Lonchura striata: one gene and its partner. Each later gene encodes a partner of the first gene's protein in a complex. Links are inferred from orthologs where the notes say so. Each region holds a gene or a part of one and is shown in the gene's direction. Other genes may lie near its edges.

What was found.
Region 2: the proteins of AAK1 (region 1) and PDLIM5 are in contact, whole or in part, in a crystal structure (PDB 9F6S), measured with the Homo sapiens proteins. The link is inferred for Lonchura striata from reciprocal best matches to the Homo sapiens genes AAK1 and PDLIM5. Residues at the interface, in NP_055726.4 of Homo sapiens: Asp956, Leu958, Ile959, Asp960, Leu961; in NP_006448.5 of Homo sapiens: Ala12, Pro13, Trp14, Gly15, Phe16, Arg17, Leu18, Phe24, Gln67, Ile70, Lys71.

The regions. Positions count from the first base shown.
Region 1 is NC_134634.1:247,522-256,767, reverse strand, and holds the start of AAK1 (AP2-associated protein kinase 1), read left to right. Parts: upstream 1-5,407; 5' UTR 5,408-5,422; coding exon 5,423-5,585; intron 5,586-9,246.
Region 2 is NC_134606.1:51,584,395-51,593,618, reverse strand, and holds the start of PDLIM5 (PDZ and LIM domain protein 5), read left to right. Parts: upstream 1-5,358; 5' UTR 5,359-5,485; intron 5,486-7,370; exon of another isoform or gene 7,371-7,600; intron 7,601-8,286; 5' UTR 8,287-8,326; coding exon 8,327-8,422; intron 8,423-9,224. UniProt on the Homo sapiens protein: May play an important role in the heart development by scaffolding PKC to the Z-disk region. May play a role in the regulation of cardiomyocyte expansion. Isoforms lacking the LIM domains may negatively modulate the scaffolding activity of isoform 1.

The DNA.
Region 1 (9,246 bases):
GCTGGCATAGCTTTGCTGTCCTTGCATCAAAAGAGGGACAGCAAGGGACAAGCAGTCCCTCTCAGTGCAGTGACAGAGCACATTGCTCTTCTGTTCACAGATACTTCATTTGTCCTATCAATTATTTTAACCACCCTTGGTTTAAAGCTCTCAACCCCCCAGACTTTACTCAGTTACACACATGCTTTCTATTCCCATTCTGTCCTGCTGTTCTCCCATTTACAAAGGACCTCATGAAAATTGAAGGTCACAGAAAAAACAGGGAGGGCACTGTGCATTAAGTAAATAACTTGGGCTCAAGCAGCAGCCCTTTAGGTAGGGTATTTCTTCAGTCCCATAATGAGAACAGAGCTGAACCTCTAGAAAATGGCAGCATTTGTTTTTGCCTGAAGGACCTGACCTTTTAAATTTGCATCTCAGAGAGCAAAGGAGCATTTGCTAGGAGGTTTTCAGTGTGTCCTTTCATTAGCAGGTACCTACCTGCCTTTAGCTCTAAAGGAACAGCCTCACCACGTTCGCTGAGCTCCAAATTCTGGCACTAATGAAGTAATTCACCCAGAGAGGGTCAGATTTTGGGCCTTTGGGGATTAAGCTGGTGTTTTTAGGAGGTTCACAAGGGAAGAGCTCATTTTCATACCTGAGCACTGGCAGTCTGCTAGCAGCAGCCCCTGAAAATGGGGTTATTTAAGGGTTGCACAAGTGCTGTGGGAGTGTGTTGGATGCTGTAGCTCAGTCAGTGTTGTCTCCATAGCAGCAGTACCCGAAGGTAGGGTGGAGGCTGAAAACCAGCCCTTGCTTTTCCAAAGCACTGAGCTCTGCGTGCTTGGGAGAGGGTGAAGAATTCTCTCATTGCATGTATCAATATCACAGTAGTCCCAAAGTGAGCTGCAGTTGCTGGGGCTCGCTGCAGACATCCAGGGGCACTTCTGACCCTTAGAGCAAGGGTGTGTCCTTACCTGCTGTTCAGCACTGTGGAAGGTGAAACCGCCACAAGTCTGAGGTGTTTTGGGAAGAGGTGTTTTGGGGAAGAGCTTAGGAAGAGGCAGCCTGGAGCTGTTGATCTATGATTGGAGTAGAGCCCTTTTAACACAAAGAGAGGAAGGAAGATGAAACACTCCCAGACCTAGGTGAGCAGTGCTTATTTGAGTGGGAAAACCGAACTGTTCCAACTCACATAAGAAACTGGAGTGTTCTTAATTCTTCATAGCCATTAGAAACACTGCTTGTGCACTCAGCATTATCAGGGGAATGCGCAGCACTCTCCCTTTTAGCAATCCAGGCATTTAGAACCCTGAGCACAGCATACCAGCACTGCTATGCAACTCAAAGGCTCTCTGGGTAGATTATATAAACACAAATGTCACACAAGGCCAAGAAGGAACTGAGAAGCAGAACTGATTAGAGAAAATTCCTGTAACCTAAGATGCCTTTAAAGCAAGAGACCACTTGGACACACACGGGAGCCCACCTGCCTGAGACAATGAGCTGTAAGGGGAGACAGCGATGAGCACTGCGGGGATGAGACAGCCGGGAGTCAAATTCCCCTTCCAAGAGTGCTTCAATCACCGGGTACCCAGGGTGGGGATGCTCGTGTTCTGCAGGTGGGCACACAGGAGGGGATCCCAGCTGCTCTCACAGCTCCTCACGCTGACAGCTCTAGCAGCATCTCGGCTGATAGAGCTGCGGGGGGCTCTCCACACTGCTGTCCCCCAGCATATGCTGTGCTGACACTGCCTCAGAGATACCCACCCACTCTGCCTTTCTCCCACAGAGAAACTGAAGGCTGCACTTGGCCACGGGCCCAGTCTGCTGTTTTCTTTTATTCACTAAAGCTATAAACAGCAGGGAATGAAAACAGTCCGGGGCCATCGGTGGTCTGATGGCTTCGCTGGCTGCCTGTGACCGTGAATCCATCCAAAGGGGAACAGGAGTCAGCAAAAACCTCCAGAGAGGGAGGGGGCTTAAGGAATGCTTACTTTCATTAGTTCTGAAGAGGAAATGAGTAGCTTTCACTTTTTTCTTCTTAATTAGTATCTGCCTCCATCTAGTTTAATCTTACTTAGTTGCTCTGTAATTTGGCCATAACCCAGCTCTAGGGGATGGAAACAGAGCTATGACTGCCCAGCTCAGGATGACTTTTCCTGACCCTGCTCTGAAACAGAAGTGAGCAAAGGGTGTGGGCAGACCCAGGTGAGGCAGCTTGGGGCAGGAGGAGCCCCAACAGGATCCTGACACTGGAAACACAGCTGATAAATCCCTTCTCCGGGAGAACCTAGCCTGCAAACTTCCCTTAGGGTGACAGCAGCTGCTTGAAGGGACAGAGAGGAGCTGTGGTGCAGTCATGCTCCCTGAGAAACACAGCTCTTTCCCACCCAGTGCTCCATCCCTGGCTGTGCACAGGGTCAATCCAGGCCGCTGCATCCCACATGCGAGAGCCTGCAGAGCTCAATCAGCTCCTTTATTTCTGGGTGTGCCACTTCTGTGGATGGAAGATTGGCTTCCAGCCACAGGAAGCAAGAGCCATTGCTGGAGCCAGTGAGGATTCCTGCAGGGACAAACAGGAGCACCAAGGAGGTGGAAGTTTTTAAGCATGTGAAATACAGATCTGACTTCTGGAGTATTTTTGTTCCTCTGCACAACTCTGGACCCAGTAAAGCCCAGCTGCATGACACTGTGCTTGAGAACTGATGTTTTCTTGGAGGTGATGAAGATCAGTGATGATTTTTCTCATTATGCTAATAGTGTTTGGGGGCCACTACTGTGGGCTTGGAAAGAAATCCTGGAACTCCAGAAAATCACAGGCAGGGAGATGGATAGAACAGCGGATCTTTTATTTGCTGGTGAGAAGCTTAACAGAGTTTTTTGCAGTAAATGTATAATTAAAGAGACAGAATTGTGGAATGCATTGCATTGGGAGGGACCTTAAAGCTCATCTTGTTCCAGGCTCCATGAGCAGGGACACCTTCCACTGTCCCAGGGTGCTCCAAGCCCTGTCCAGCCTGGCCTGGGACACTTGCAGGGATCCAGGGGCAGCCACAGCTTCTCTGGGCACCCTGGGCCAGGGCCTCATCCCCCTCACAGGGCACAATTCCTTTCTTGTATCTAATCTGAATATCTCTCCCTTACTTTGAAACAGTTACCCCTATCACTGTGTAAAAAAGGCTCTCCCAACATCCTCATCAAGATAAACACTGCCGTGTGATTAAGACTACATTATTATGCGGTGAAGTCAGGAAAATGTGACCACGGCTGTTTCCCCTGGCCAGTTTAGTGGCAGCAAGCACAGGAAGCTGTGCCAGCGCTGCTCTCCGTCGTTGCTGCTCCCGGAGCTCTCCAGAAGGGGCCAGTGTGCCCTCGCCTTTCGGGGCCGCAGGAAACCTGCCCAGGCCTGTGTTTTTATTTAGAAAATGCTGAGCTGGCTGGAAAGTTGATGAAGAGGGATGCAGCTGTATTAATGTGCTTCTTCCTGGGGATTTGAATGCATTTTCTGAGCGGTGCAGGAGAACCAGGGATCAGGGAGACAATGTGCAGGGAAGCAGCTCTGCTGACCACACTCGGATATTTTAAACCTTGTGTCATGGGATTTCAGCAGCTTAAAATTTGTTTTTTAGGACTGAGTGCATTAGTCAGAGGCTCCTGCCTGCAGCAGGACAAGGCTGGGAGCACTTTGGAGTCACTCTGACACGGGAGGAGCGCCAGGCCCTATCTGTGCTGTGGCCACAGATCAGCTTTTCCACTTGGAGCTTTCAGGCTCAGCTCCCTCTGATCCCCGTGAAGGTCACAGGGATTGCAGCAGTGCGGTGAGCCTTGTGTCTCCTGGAATAAAGAACATCCTCAGCGTCTGCAGCCTGCTGCTGCCCAGAGCGGTCATGGGTGGGGTTTGTGTGCCCGTGGGCTGACAGCCGTGCGTGGGGCTGACACTGCCTGCACTGCACTGCAGGTACGGTTAAAAAAAGCTCGGCAGTGCATCTGCAGCTCTCTGCATGCTTTTATCTTCTTTAGCTGGAAATGAGTAATTTCCCTGTGCTCTACAGAGATGCCCAATTTCCTTGGAAATTGTTCAGTTCTGCAGAGTCCCCAGAAATCCCCAGTGATGGGACCCACATTTTGCACTGGGTGTTTTACCAGTCTTGAGAGATGCCTGGGGATTTTCACAAGTCAGAGAAATTAAAAAAAAATTAAAAATAATGGATCGAAGCACCTGAGACTTTACTCGGTTCATATTTATTCCGAAGGGCACGTGAACCTTCTGTACTGAGCACGTCATCGTGCAAAGCCCTAATGTGGGCCGTGGCTCCTCACGGACAGGATTTCTGCACTCATCCCTCGCGGCGAGGAGGACGCAGAGCCCCCGGGCCCCGTCCGCTGTTCCTGTGGGGGCCTCCGGTACCGACCGGTCTGAGGGGCGACCGCGGCCCGGCCGCTCCGCCACAGCCCCTCACGGCCCCGGCCGGTCTGAGGGGCGACCCCGGCCCGGCCGCTCCGCCACAGCCCCTCACAGCCCCGGCCGGTCTGAGGAACGACCCCAGCCCGGCCGCTCCGCCACAGCCCCTCACGGCCCCGGCCGGTCTGAGGAACGACCCCGGCCCGGCCGCTCCGCCACAGCCCCTCACGGCCCCGGCCGGTCTGAGGAGCGACCGCGGCCCGGCCGCTCCGCCACAGCCCCTCACGGCCCCGCCGCGCGGCATGCCGGGACTTGTAGTCCCCGCCGCCCCCAGGGCCCCCCCTCCGCCTGGCACGGCGAACTACCGCCCCCAGCATGCCGCGCGCGGCGCCGCCAGCCCGCCGGGCCCCCGCTCCCCCGCCCGCCGCACCGTGGGGCGGGGGGCGCTCCGAGGCCCGCGGGACGGGACGCTGTGGACGCGATATCCCGGGACAGGGAGGAACGCAACGGGACGGGACGGGACGGCCCGGGGCGGCGGGGCCGGGCCCCGCAGCTGGCGGAGGCGCGGGGGCGGTGCTCCCGGCGGCAGCCGGCACTTCCTGTGACGGCCCATTTCCTGGTCGGATGGGGCCGGCGGGGGGCGGCGGCGGCGGGGTCGGTCCCTGTCCGTGTCCCTGACGGGCTCGGTGGTCGCCGGTGACGCCGCCAGGCAGCGATGCGGGCCCCGGGCGCTGCCGGCAGCCGGCCCCCGCCGTGAGCCGGTGGGGCTGCGCAGGCCGGCCCCGCGGGGCGCATGGAGGCACCCGCCGCGCTCTGCGAGGTACCGGGCAGGGTCGCGCGGTCGGGGCTCGCGGAGCGGCCCGCGGCGGTGACTCGCCAGCCCGTTATCCCCGCTGCTTCCGCAGGTGTGAGTCCCCGCGGGACAGCGCGGCTCGGCCCCGCCGGGCCAGCGGCCCCGGGCCCCGCTCAGCGGCCGCGGCAGAGCCAGGAGGGGTCGGCACCGACACCGGCGTCGCGGCGGCCGCCGCCTCCTGAGACATGAAGAAGTTCTTCGACTCGCGCCGGGAGCAGGGCGGCTCCGGGCCCGGCTCGGGCACCAGCGGCGGCGGCGGCGGCAGCAGCGGCCCGGGCAGCGGCTACATCGGCCGGGTCTTCAGCATCGGCCGGCACCAGGTCACGGTGGACGAGGTGCTGGCGGAAGGTAAGGTCCCGGTGCCGTTCTGAGCGCTGCTTTTGCCTCCCCGAGCTGAAAGGGAGGCCTCGAGCTGTCCCGGGCACCCAGCCTCCTCCCTGACCCCCGGATTCCTGAGTATTTCACCGTCCTTGGCAGAATTGCAGTCCAGTGGTGTCTGTAAGCTGACGTGTCTGATCTTCCCATCTGTAAGTCCAGTGTGGGTTTCCTGGATTTGGTTTTTTTTTTGTTTTTGTTTTTGTTTTTTTTTTTTTAATGCTTCAGAAATTGGAGGAATGTTGTTAGAAGTTGTTTCTCACTTCTTCTAAACTGGGAGTTAAAAAAAACAAAATAAACAAACACCCAAACCAAAATTGTCAAATATTTTGGTGCAGAACAAGGTGCTGTAAATAAAAAAAGTGGTGTCCTTCACTCTTAAACTTTCTTCAGCTGTTACCTCCTTTCCTATCTCAAGCTGAGAGGATTAAAACACTGGAGTAAATTCCTTGTAGCTATGTTATGTACATAGGCTGGCTGTGACCTGGGATGAGGGATTTCTCTGTGTGTGGGATGTCTGCAAGGGGAAGTGGTGATCCCAATTGCCTTTTTTTTTTTTTTTTTTTTTTTTTATAATTTTATTTATTTATTTTGTTTTCCCCAAATAAAACAGACACCTAAAAATGAATCCTAGGGGTTATGGAACTCATGATGTGTGCAGGCCTTGCAGTGCAGCAAGCTGCTGGTGGCATTTGTTTAATTGTAACCAGCCCTGCTGCTTGAACTATCATTTTACATTTCATTTGTTGGGGCTGTAAGGAACCTCCTGCATGGCTCTGCCTGGTAACCTTAGCCTCGACCTTCAGAGAGATGTTGGCCTCTTCAGACCTGCTCCTGGTGCCTCCTGCACAGCATCCTGGGCAGATTTAGTCCAAACAGTGTTTTGTTTTGATGGCGAAGGAGAGGAGAGCTGCTGGGAGAGAGCTGAGTGGGAGGACCTGTGTTGGCTTTTACAGAAAGAGCCCTAAAATGGAAAAGGGACTCTGTGTACGCTGCCTGTGTTCAGATTTGTAAGAATTCACCGCGGTGTACAAGAAAATAGGTCTGTGGCTGTTTTTTTAGACTTGGTTTCTGATGTGTTCTGCTGAGAGGAGAACCAAAACCAGGCTTTTACCTAGCAGCTATAGTGATTTTTTTTCCTTTGAAATTTGCAATACAGGTTTGCCTGGACTGATACTTGCGAGGCCCTTTTGGCCCTGGAAGCTTAGGATCTACATGAGCTAAACTTGAGAAGCTGTCAGTCTCTTTTTAATGCAGGATGGCCTCATCCTGGTAACATGGGAAGGCAGAGGCTTTTTTTGCTGATGAGTAATGTGCTGGCAGGTTCTGCCCCGGGAAGCGAAGCCGTGTGTCACCGGGCTCTCCTGCTGCAGCAGAGGTGGAGGTGGGAGCACGAATTGCCTGAGAGAAGAGCCTCCCTTCTCTGCCTCCCTGTCCTGGGGGGAGCTGCTGCTTGTGGGGGCTTTTCCCTGCATCTCCTGCTTCCTGGGCTGGCTGTGGGATGGAGCACGGCCTGCAGCTCTGGGCTGCTCACAGCAGGCTAGCACACCTGTGAAGCAGGGGCTGTGTTTGTTCTGTGAGGCAGAGGGAGTTCTGGTGAAAGGTGCTGCCCAGGTATCTCCCTCCCAGCGAGACTTTGCTGTGGGCGGTGTGAAATCCTTCTGTGTGCAGAGGGGACACGAGCAAGGCGGTGTGTCGGTTTGCAGCTCGTCACCTTTTGTTGGGAACAGTGACAATGCCATTTCCTCTGTAGGAAAGTTGGGCCAGCTGGGGAGCAGCGTGGGTCAGGAGTGCTGCAGCTCTGCATGCCTGAGTGTGGCTGAGTGTGCTGGTAAACAGCCTTTTCTAAACCCTGACTCAGCTGGAGACCTGGGGAGCTCGTGGGCAGCCCGGTCCCCACGCTCCTGACGTCTGAAACCTCGGCTGGAAAACCTCTCTGTATCTGCAGTGGTTCCAGCAGTGCTGAAGAGGCAACTCCTGGCTATTTCTGCTAAAAGGAAAAGTCCCCTGGGAAGCACTTTGTAGGAGGAGTATCCTGTCTGGGAAGGAAGGACCTGTCATCCCCGTTGCTTTAGGAGGGAGGGGGGAGGCCTGTGTTTAGGTGCAGCCTGTGAAACATGAAAAAAAAAAAGAGATGTAAAAGTGGCTTAAAGAGAGAACTGATGCAGTGATGAATGGTGCGGAGGAGACTTGAGTTGAACCAGAAGTTTTGGAATTGAAACATTGTGATTTGCTCTCAGAGCTGTGCCTGGTCACCCTGAATTCTGCTGAGCAACCCTGCTGGTGAGGAGTGTGCCCTGGCTGCAGCACTGCCTGTGCCAAGTGGCAAATGGCTCCAAATACCTCTGGGCTCTTGTGTGGATCTCCCAAATTACCTGTTCTGGTTAGGAGCACCCCTCACCCCTAAAAATAGTTCTGTCTGGATGCTTGCCTGCCTTGGCAGGGAGGAACATCCTTTCCTTTTTAGAAGGAAGTAGATGGGAATAATGTAGAAGGAATTTGAGGGGTTGGTTGTGGCGTCAGGATACGGTGAATCAGTGGGTTTTTTACAGTGTGTTGCAATAGGTTGTACCTAGTTGGGTCTTTGTAACTCTCCTGCTCTAATCTATATAATAGCACAAATAAGCTCTTGAAAAATTCCCCTCAGAGTTTGCAGAAGGATTATCTGTGGTGGGAGGGCAGTGCTGTTGGTCCTGGGGGTCTGCAGGGTCAGATTTGAAGTCACACAGTGCCCCAGTATGGGTTTAGGGGCATTGTGGCTGGTTTTGGGGTGAGTGGTGTTTCACAGAGCTGAATGCAATCCCCAGGAGCTCTTGCAGTGTGGGGCTGAGTCAGGCTGCTGTCTTGCTGTTTTCTTTCTGAAAATAAACCAAAACTGCGTTGTACCAAATCAGATCCTGCTCTTTGTTTCTGCCTGTGTGTAGGGGGAAGACCCTACACAAACAAAATAAACACAAACCCTACACAAACAACAAAACCTCACCCCAGAGCCCCATGCTGGAGCTCTTGGGAGTTTGGTGTCCCTCTGATAGAGAACAAAACAGCAGAAACATTGAGAAGGATGTTGCCATAAATGAGGGATTTGCTAAGGAGTTTGGGAGAGGTGTGTGGCAAAGTACCACAAGGCACGGGTACTCCTCCGAGCTAAAACAGGTTGGAGATTGCCCCAGTGTCCCATTTCTGAGGGCCGCTGTGCTTTGTGTGACTCTGTACTCCCAGTGTTGTCAGAGAGTGCTGAGCTGACCCGAGGTGTGTAAACATTGATGGGGCACGTGCTTGAACAGGGTTTTGTCTTGCTCTGCTTCTAGCAGAAAGTACAGGCTGTGTTCCTGCAGGTCTGTGAAAAGCTACTTTTAAAATGAGTTGTACTTTTTTGAAAGTCTTTTCCCCTTCAAGTGTGTAAGTAAGGGATTCAGGTTTAATGATTGTTGGCTGTCTCACTTAAGTTTTTCTGGTATGTGCCTGTGTGCTGTAGCTAGTGTTGATTTGAAAGCATTTAATGGTTGGTATTACAAACCAGTGCAAAGTCACAAAATCATCTTACATTTGCCAGCTGTATTTTTCCTCTGTTTTGAAAAGAGGGACACTGTGGGCTTCATCCTGAATTTCCTTAGCAGACCTGCAGGCCAGTGCA
Region 2 (9,224 bases), on another chromosome or scaffold:
CAGGGAACTGGTGTTTCATTAATAAATCATGGCAAAACAATTCACACATAAATATGACACTGTACACACTTGTGTGTGTACAAGTTTGGTTCAAATTCTTAAAATGTGACACTGGTATGTACAAGTTTGATTTAAATTCTTAAAATGTATAAATACAAGCTTCTCTGGTGACTGTTTTTTTCCTGCTGTTGTCCACTGTCAGTAAAGTTTACCAGTATTTTATTTACTGTGGGAATAGCAATTAGTTGATATAATATTTTATGTGGGCAGCAGTTAAAATAAGATCTCCTGAACATGTTCTCTGATCATACTGCTCTCATGCCTGTTTTGTATTTCTCTGGGAGAAAACACCCCAAACAACTCTAGAGGTGGTTAAAAAGGCCTAGAGAGGTTTCTCTGTATGCACAGGTTTTTGTATGGCTTTAACTAAGCAGTTATAAAATCCAGGGCAACTAAGTCAATACAACAGAAAAGATAGGTTGATTTTTCCCCTCCTTCGTTTATTTCCAAACACTATTGTATTGTTAGACCTGTTGATACAGTGGGATGTCCTGCTTTGGATTATGTTTAGTTTTGTACCAGTTCAGTTGTGTGAGCTGGCTGAAGGGCTTTGACTTCAGGATGATGTGGGGTTGTGGTGGTGGAGCCCCAAATGACGTCTGCTGGGTGTCCAGGCTGAGCAGCAGAACAGACCCTATAAAAAGCCTGTGCTTTAGTGAGTGAGTGGTGCTGGTAGAAATAAAGCAGGGGAGCTGCCTGCTCCCCTGCTGTGCCCCCTGTCCAAACCCCTGTGCCCAGCTGCTCCTGACCTGCCAGGCTCTTGGTGCTGCAGCTGGCAGCCACTCTCTCCCTCGCCAAGGCAATCTTGCACCTCTTCTCCCATAGCATTAATTAATATAAATACCTGCAAGGATCTCTCTGAAAGTTTGGCTGTTTACCTGCCAAACCCTACTTAATTGGGATTTGTGGTGGATCTCAAACATAGCTCAAAGACATCACTCAGCAAACCCTTCCTGCACACCTGAGGGACTGTAATTAAACCACACCAGGCCACAGGTTTCTGCATTAACCATTCCTTGCCATGAAAGAAAAGGAAATCAGGGCAGGCAGCTTGCTTCAATAGGTAAGAACAGGGATAATTGAAGGCATTACTCCCATAACTCTGTCAAAAATGGTAAATACGAAGTTTGATTTTTTTCCCCTCTCGGTTTTTCTTCCCATGTATTGCTCCATTTGAAGAGTAGAAGGGGCATGGTCAGCCTGTGGTAGAGTAATCCAGTGGTTAGTTGTTAGTAGCTGAAAAAGAATTTGGAAGAACTGGTTTCAATTCTTTGACAGTTGATTCCTTGTATGTATAAATGTTTATTGCCTCTGGTGACCATCTGTAAAATGAGGCTAATGCCTCACAGCAGGGCTAAGCATGAAACTGTTTAGGCTGTGATGTTCTGAGAAGCTTCTGATTGATTTCAGTCCCTAAAATGGGCCGTGTTTAATGTGATAAGAAGATAACCTTAAGCTTCTGCAAAGGTTAATTGTGTTTCCTGGAATGAAGAGGTTTAGTTGCTGTTTCATTGGTTTGGACACACAAAGTAGAAATGTTTAACCTGTGGCATGGGCTGTGACATCCACACAGGTGGTCCTTCTTTTACTTGAGGAGGAGGGAACAAAACAGATATTCCTAGCTTAGAACTAGGACTGATCAGGCTCCAATGAGTCTGCTCAGTCACTACAAAGGAGTCCAGTAATAAAATACATTTCCTGTTTATGCAATTTACCAAAATTCTAGAGAGACTGTAAATAAGAAGTATCTTATTAGTAAATATTAATTTCTCTTTACAAATAAAAGCACCAATAAATAAAAACTAAAGGAGGCTTGATTAGCTAAAATAAAAAATAAATCAGGGTATAAAAAATACAAATAAATCCATTTATAACATTAAGAGCTTCAAAGGCTAGAGTGGGAAGACCAACACTGTTAACTTTTCAATCTGATGAAAAACGTGAGTTTAAAAGCTGTCTGGATCGACGAGATGGCGAGCAAACTGCTGTCAGAGAGGACACAGCTACAGCAGAAGTAACACAAGAAAACATGTTCAGTGAGAAAACGGGCTGATGACAAGTGGTGAAGATGGTCAGCACGCCTGGAGGGATAACAGGCTCTAAGAGGTGAGAAAAAAAAGGTGACAAGTCAGAGAAAACTTGACCGTGACGGTTTGTTTTTTTTTTTTTTTTTTGGCTGACAAAACCGTTCCAAGGTGAATTGGTGGGTGTAGCTGCCCATCTGGCTGGATTCTGAACCTCCTGCCAGCGACCCTGCTCAACCACATGGCTCCTCCCGTGCAAAGAAGTCTTTGGGCTGACTGGACTTACTGCGGTAGACAGGATGCACGAGGAAGGATGCAATTCAGCACAGGCTATCTTTCCAAAACAGGGACAGGAAAAAGAAAAACAGAACAAAACAAACAACAAAACCACAAAATACCAAACAAACAGAAAAATAAAAGTTCTTCCGCAATACCAGTTCTAGGTAATTTGGGCTTCACTGTGACCAAAATGTAAGAGCTTGCCCTGTCAAAAGCTGACTGCAGCCCCTGCTTTTCAGAAACACATAGAAATTATCTAATTCCTTGTATTTTTTGGCCACAGAGCTGTCTTGGAACTGCAAATAAGCTGTTATGCTGTAGGGGATATTCACATTTACCTCTTTAGAGAGAGGATTACTTTATGTTGGTGAACACGAGTTATAAACTGAATGTAAATATTTACACTAGCTTTACCTTTGGAAGAAAAGCAAAAGTGAAAGCAGTGCAGTAAAAGCACAGCTTGTAGTTCAATGCTTTAGCACAGAGAAAGGTAATATTACATTAAGTGGTGTTTAATTAAAAACAATTCGACTGTGCATTGTTAATCAGTTCATAATTTATGGGCTACTTTTTAATTTACAAATAGCTTTTTGTACTTCACCACCGCAGGTGATATTCTCTGTCAGTTTTGTAGGGCCCATTACATGGCACCTAAGGCATTTCATTAGCATTTAAACGAGACTTAAGTGCCTGAGTAATTCTGAGATAGGCTGTATCTGCCTGGCTAGCTGACTACTGTATTTAATTAATTTCCAGACGCTTTCCTTCCTTGTTCTGAGGGGAAAATGCAAGCTCTGTCTAAAATCTGGTAGTGGTAGGAAGAACAGGCAGGCCACAGTTCTAGCTGCTGCCAAGGTTTCTTGCTCAATTTACTATCTCTAATTTCGTTATTCATCTTAATGAAAAGCTTTCTCTCAAAGAGGACAATATTTGAAAAGTGACCAAGAATGGAATGATCTTGAGCTAATGTGTTGCCTCTATTTCTGTGCCCTGTGTCTGGAGGCAAAGGAAAACAGATTCATTTGTTACAAACTGAAGTGAATCTTCGCCACAGCGAAGTGATGACGGACTTAAAGATGAGTCTGCCAGCTTTGAGCTGGGAGTGGCACTGACCTTGCTGCAATGGAGCAGATTGCATGCAGGCTTGCCGGGGCTGAAACCTGCTGCAACACCAACCAGCAAAAGTCTCTCTGCACGTTCTTCTTCGGTCATGATGAATTAATGTAATAGTGTCTTGAAGTGCTGCACATGCAAGCTACTTCTCCAACAGGAAAAGCTGAAGGCTTTGAGAGAACTGAAGTGGAAAAGGATGTTTTTCACTAACATGGCAAAGTGCAAAATCAAGCAGGACACAGGCTGTGTGCCCTGGTGAGCTGAGAGCAGATTGCTACCCAGGCAGTCAGCACAGGGACATGCTGACACTGGAGGTATCACATGAGTCACACCGGGACGTGGGGTCCTGCAGCTTTTTCTACTCTAATTAATAGAACAGCTTGAGAGTGACCTACAGCCCTTGTGACACAATGAAAAATCCCTGTGTTGGGTAATTTTTACCTCCATGAATTAAAATCATGTGAGAGTCTATTTGCGTAACAGGGATTTTTAGTTTTGCCCAACTGGAGAGACTTAATAGAAAAAGAGCAGACTAAGGAAGGAAAATTTCTGAAACAGTGGTTTGGCTGCAGTAGTGGGAGGTTTAGATGCTTTTCTTTTGAGATGCTGTTTGAGGTGCGTTTGTCCTACTTAAAGACACACAGCTCAGTGGGACACTGTTAAAATACCCTTGTTAAGGTTTGCTGAGCCAGGGCTCAGAGGATTAGACAGGCCCTGGTTTCATGCACACCCAAGCACCTAGAGCACAGGTCTTCTAACCCAGCATCAGCTCCAGTCTGAGGGCTCCTGGTTGGGGTAGCCTGTGGGAGCAATGGGCAGAGTAGGGCCAAAATCACACTCAAGGCTGTGCAAATAACAATAAAACTAAGGGACAGTGCCCTAGGCCAGAGGGGTGAGGCAGGGCTGTCTATTATGAGGACTGTGTGTTGTGTTGGATGGTAATAAGAATTTAAAGCTTTCTTCTGCATTCTTTCTCCACAGTTTGAGGAGGGTGCTGAAATCGTTTGAATCGTACTGACAATGATACTGTTAACTAGATGCACATTTCTTTCACAGACATTTTTACTTGTAATGACTTCTTGTCGCACATGAAGTTTGGCAGGAACCTCAAGCCTCCCCAAGCTGTGAGGTGCAGCTGGATGTGACTCCCAAGTGCCACTGTTTCATCTTTGCCCTATACCTGCCTCTCCCAAGGCAGCGGCAGTGGCTGGCGCTGGCTGGCGCTGGCAGTGCTGTCCCAGCCAGCCTGCCCCGCTCCATGGATTCCCAGCTGGATACTCCTCGTGTTAAAGAATCAGTCCTGTAACAATCTGATCAAGCATCACCTTAGAACCTGGTTCGTTTAATGGATGCACTCCTCCAGTGAGGCTGTGCCAGAGACCTTAATTTCTGGCGGATCCCTTCCAATTTCGGAGCTGAACTTATGCATGGCTACTCCACACCTGTTTGTTCTTGTGCCAGCCTTCTGTCAGCCTCAACAGCTCTTCTGCCTCGCCGCCGTTCCCGCACTTTGATGTCCTCGGGGGAGGGGGTACATCCCTGTCATTTCTCACGCTACTCCACATTAAATCAGCCAAACTCCCTCTTTTCGTAGGCTGTCCTGCTCCGCTTCAGGCTGCCCCCGCAGCCTGCCCCCATCCCTGCCCGGCACCGCAGCTCTTCCCTCAGGGCGGGCACAGGGGAGCGGCCCCTTCCCGCTTCCCTCGCGCTTCTCAGGTGCGCCCGCAGCTGCGTGTGCGTAAAGCAAAGCGGGGCCAACGTGAGCGCTCCCCTGCTAAAAACAAACCAAAACAAATCAAACAGCACAGCAAACCTGCGCACCGCGCGGCCTTCCCGGCCTCTGCCCCGCTCCGCAGCCCCGTCCCGCCGCGGCCGGGCAGGGCTGGGCCGGGCCGGGCCAGGGGAGGAGCGGCGGGAGACGGAAGTGAAAACAAGAGCGGGGGCTGGAGCCGCCGCCTCGCAGACGCGCTGCGCTGTCCTCGCCTCTCCGCGCTGAGCCGCGCCGCCGGGTGAGTGCCGCGGCGGCCAAAGCGAACAGAAAAATAACCAGGGGGGGAATCAGGCTAAGAGTCAGTAGGCTGGGCGCGGTTTGTAAAGCTCCGCGGTGCTTGTTTTCGTTTCATTTAACTTCTGTAAGCAGGACGCGCAACTTGCCGCGGTGGCCGAGCGCCCGGCCGGGGTGCCGAGGTGCGGCGGGGGCGCGGCCCGGGGCAGGAGGGCAGGCAGCTCCCGCCCGGGCTGCGGGACACCTGCGGGGCTCCTCGCCCCCAGCCGTGCCCGTAGGGCTGCTTGGACACAGGCTCCGGTGCGTCCCGCTCCCCGGGCTTTGTGGCACCCGCGGGGCTGCACGCCGGGCGCCCCTGGAGCGGCTGGAGCCGAGACCGAGCGCTCCTGCGGGGAGTTGTGGTCCCCAGGCTGCGCTGGCCGTGGGGCTCCTCGCCCCGGGGAGGTGGGCAGAGCGGGGTGCGGGGCGTACGGGGGCGGGAGGGCTCCTCTGGGCGCTGCGGGCCGACGGCTCAGCGCCCTGGCGGCGGCGGTGCGGGCCGCCGTTCCGGCCGGGAATTTGAAATTCCCCCTTCCAGACTCAGGTCCACTAAGCGTTTGATCGTCTAAAGGAAAGTTGCACATTTTCACCCTTAGCTGGTTTGTTTGCACAACGTTTGTTTGTTTGCTCCGCACGTGAATTTCATGGTTCGCGGTGTTTTGCTTTAGCTATTGCCTTGCCATATTATGACATTTGTTAAATAAAATTTGGAGCGAGTCTTCTTTGTTTGCCGTTACTTCCTGGTGTATCTGTCAGGCTAGAGATGCAGATATACCAGAATTAAAGGGATGAGAAAGATGAGTGATGCCGAGTGTGATGCACGGTAATTCAGAGTGCAGTTTCTTCCCTCCTATTTCCAGTTGCTACAAATGAAAAAGAATGGTATCAATTCCTAACAGAATCCATTATTTTTCCTGGGTCTGTAGCAGTAACTAGTTGATGCTCAACTTCAATAAATAAAAAAAAAATCTACACAGGTGCTTTAGCTTTCAATTGCCAAGTAAAGCCTGCTCACCTGTGTGAAACAACTGCACTGTATGCTGGTCAGTAGATGTGGCTTGCTTTTCTGCAGTTTTATATTTTAGAGTGACCTGTCACTGCAGTGGATTTCTTTTAGCGGGAGTGAACAGAATGTGTATTTTTATGCAGGAAGAAATCTGTGACCAATTCAGATCCTCTTTTTAAAAGAACTCTGTGCGTAGGACAATTTAACAGCTTAGTTCTCGTTGTAGTGGTGAGGAAGCCTCTTAAGAATCCTAGCTCAAGCTTGGCGGGGACTTTTCTTCCTCTTTAGCGACAGGAGAGCTCAATATTGTGTGCATCCCCTGTTGTTCATTGATGCTTGTCGAGGTTTTTAAGGGTGGGTTGAGTCAGCGCCTGGGGTCAGAGCTGCCCGTTTGCTGGATGCTAGCAGGCAGTGGTGGGTTGGGAATGGCCCAGTTACGCAGGCATCTCTGGTACAAGCTCCAAATTCTGCTTCCTAATACATACATATTTATATCTTGTGCTGCCTGATGCCAGTAGCCCTGCTCTGGTTACCTGAGTGGCCGTCGGTGTGAATAAAGCTCACTGTGTGATTTAGGAAAAAAGTGTGAGCAGTGGATCTCTGCTGCTTTGGGAGGTGAACCCAAAAACGTGCGTTGTGGATGACTTTTTTGGGGGGTGACATCTTTGCATCGATGGGGGTTGTGCGACAACCCTGCTCTCATGTTCCCTCATGTTCCTCGGGGGTGGGCTGCATTTGGAAAAATCCTCCGCCTCTGAGAAACTAACGTGGCGCCCTGCAGCGTGCGAACAGCCAAAACTGGGCTTTTCAGAGTTCCGTGGGGTTTGCAGCCGCCTGCTGCTGCTTGCCTGAAGGTCCACCTTAAATGTCCCTATATGAGTATGGAATCTGGCTGTGCCCCGGTGTAGTCTTACACCAGCCTGCCCTGGTGTGCTCCTGCCGGGCTTCAACTACACAAAAATAGACGGCATCCACTACCTAAGATGTCATTGTAACATTACTTATCTAAGGTGGAACTGAAGCCCTTATCTTTGACGCTGAGCAGCGCTTAAATATCTCTGTTGCCTTTTAAAGGTAATTTGTCGGATACATTTTTGGAGAGGGAGATGCGTGGGTTTTGCTTCCTCAGCATTGAATTATAACTGTGGATGTTTTGCTTTAGTTCACAGCTTTCATTTTTAGGGTTGGTTTTAATATCGGACTCATCTGTGATATTGTTCTGCCACTACGAAGCTATGCTGTAAAAATAAAAAACGTCACAGGGATTTTATTTTCGTCTGATTAACTGCAAAGTTGTGATGCTTTTGGCGTTGTTGTATTTAGAAATAAGCTTTGAGCTGATGACAGGGCAGCATATGATACTAATTTTGTTAGAAATGAATGTGCTAGTAGTGCTAATGTCTTCCATACTTCAGTTTAAGGGATGCTATCAATTCATGCTTGTCTCAATATTGACTTATTTTAAGCTGGTCTTTCATGCTGGATGGTTTTACCACCGCTGCCCCACATGGTGTTTTGCTAGTAAAAAGCAGTTGTCAAATATTTTGGCGGCAGCAGTTCTCCAGATTCTGTTTCTTCCTAAGCTATGGAGGGAAACAACATATAGGGAATAAAAGCACAAGTCATGACAGACCTGGTGTGGGGTTTTTGGCTGTTTTGGGGGGAGGGGAATATAGCCAAAGAAAGAATGTTTCCAAAATTGCGGACAGTGCCTTTTGTTTTTATCACCTTTAAATTAAAACTCTAATCCTCTTCTGCAGGCATCAGTTCTTTGGATTTGGTCCTTGAATACTAAACATCATGAGCAACTACAGCGTGTCTTTGGTCGGGCCGGCTCCCTGGGGTTTCAGGCTTCAAGGGGGCAAGGATTTCAATGTGCCTCTGTCTATCTCTCGGGTAAGTGTATTTGCTTTTTTTCCTGCATGTGGGTATCTGTTATGCTGTGGCCAACCCACAACCTTCAGACAAAGCCATTAATTATAGACGCTGGGGCTCCACTTGCCCTGTGGCATGGAGGACCCCATGGTAGGGGTCGGGGAGGGAGGGATAGAAAGGGGAAAATAAATCTGTATTGTATAAAGGCTCCAAGAAAATTAGCTTAGGAAGGACTTGTTCATTTGAAATGGTTGTTTTATCTGCATTTGTTTATTCAAATAACAAAAAAAATTGCCCTCGAATTCCCTTCCCTGTTCCCACCCAGAAAATAGAGATGTAGAGGTTGAAGGCTGACAGGAAACAAGCAATTTACTTTGCTGGGCTGAGCCTGTGCGTTTCAAATGGGAAGCAGTGGGGAAAAATCACTCGTGTTGCACTTGTTTATTCAGCAGCTTTTAGCTGCCTGAGGATCTTGTGGTGTCTGCTATTACAAATCCTACCATTTGTAATAAAAAGGTACTTAAATGACAGTAGTTGTAAATAGCAGTTCATCAATATGTGCCTCAGTGAACGTGCCAGTTTCTCATGAGTGTTTTATAGAGTATGTGCTCTGAACTGGTATTCAAAGGATTTGAGGAAATAAGTCAAAACAAATACGATCTTTGTACCCAGCACTGTCTAACTAGTTTCCTACTTTAAAACTGTGTTTTCAGGAAGGCTTGTCTTTCACTGTGGGCTAAGTTTCAAAGCCTTTTGCAGATGCCTGAAGTACTTTGCACATAAAATATAGGGACAAACTTCTCAGTATTGCATTTCTAGGATC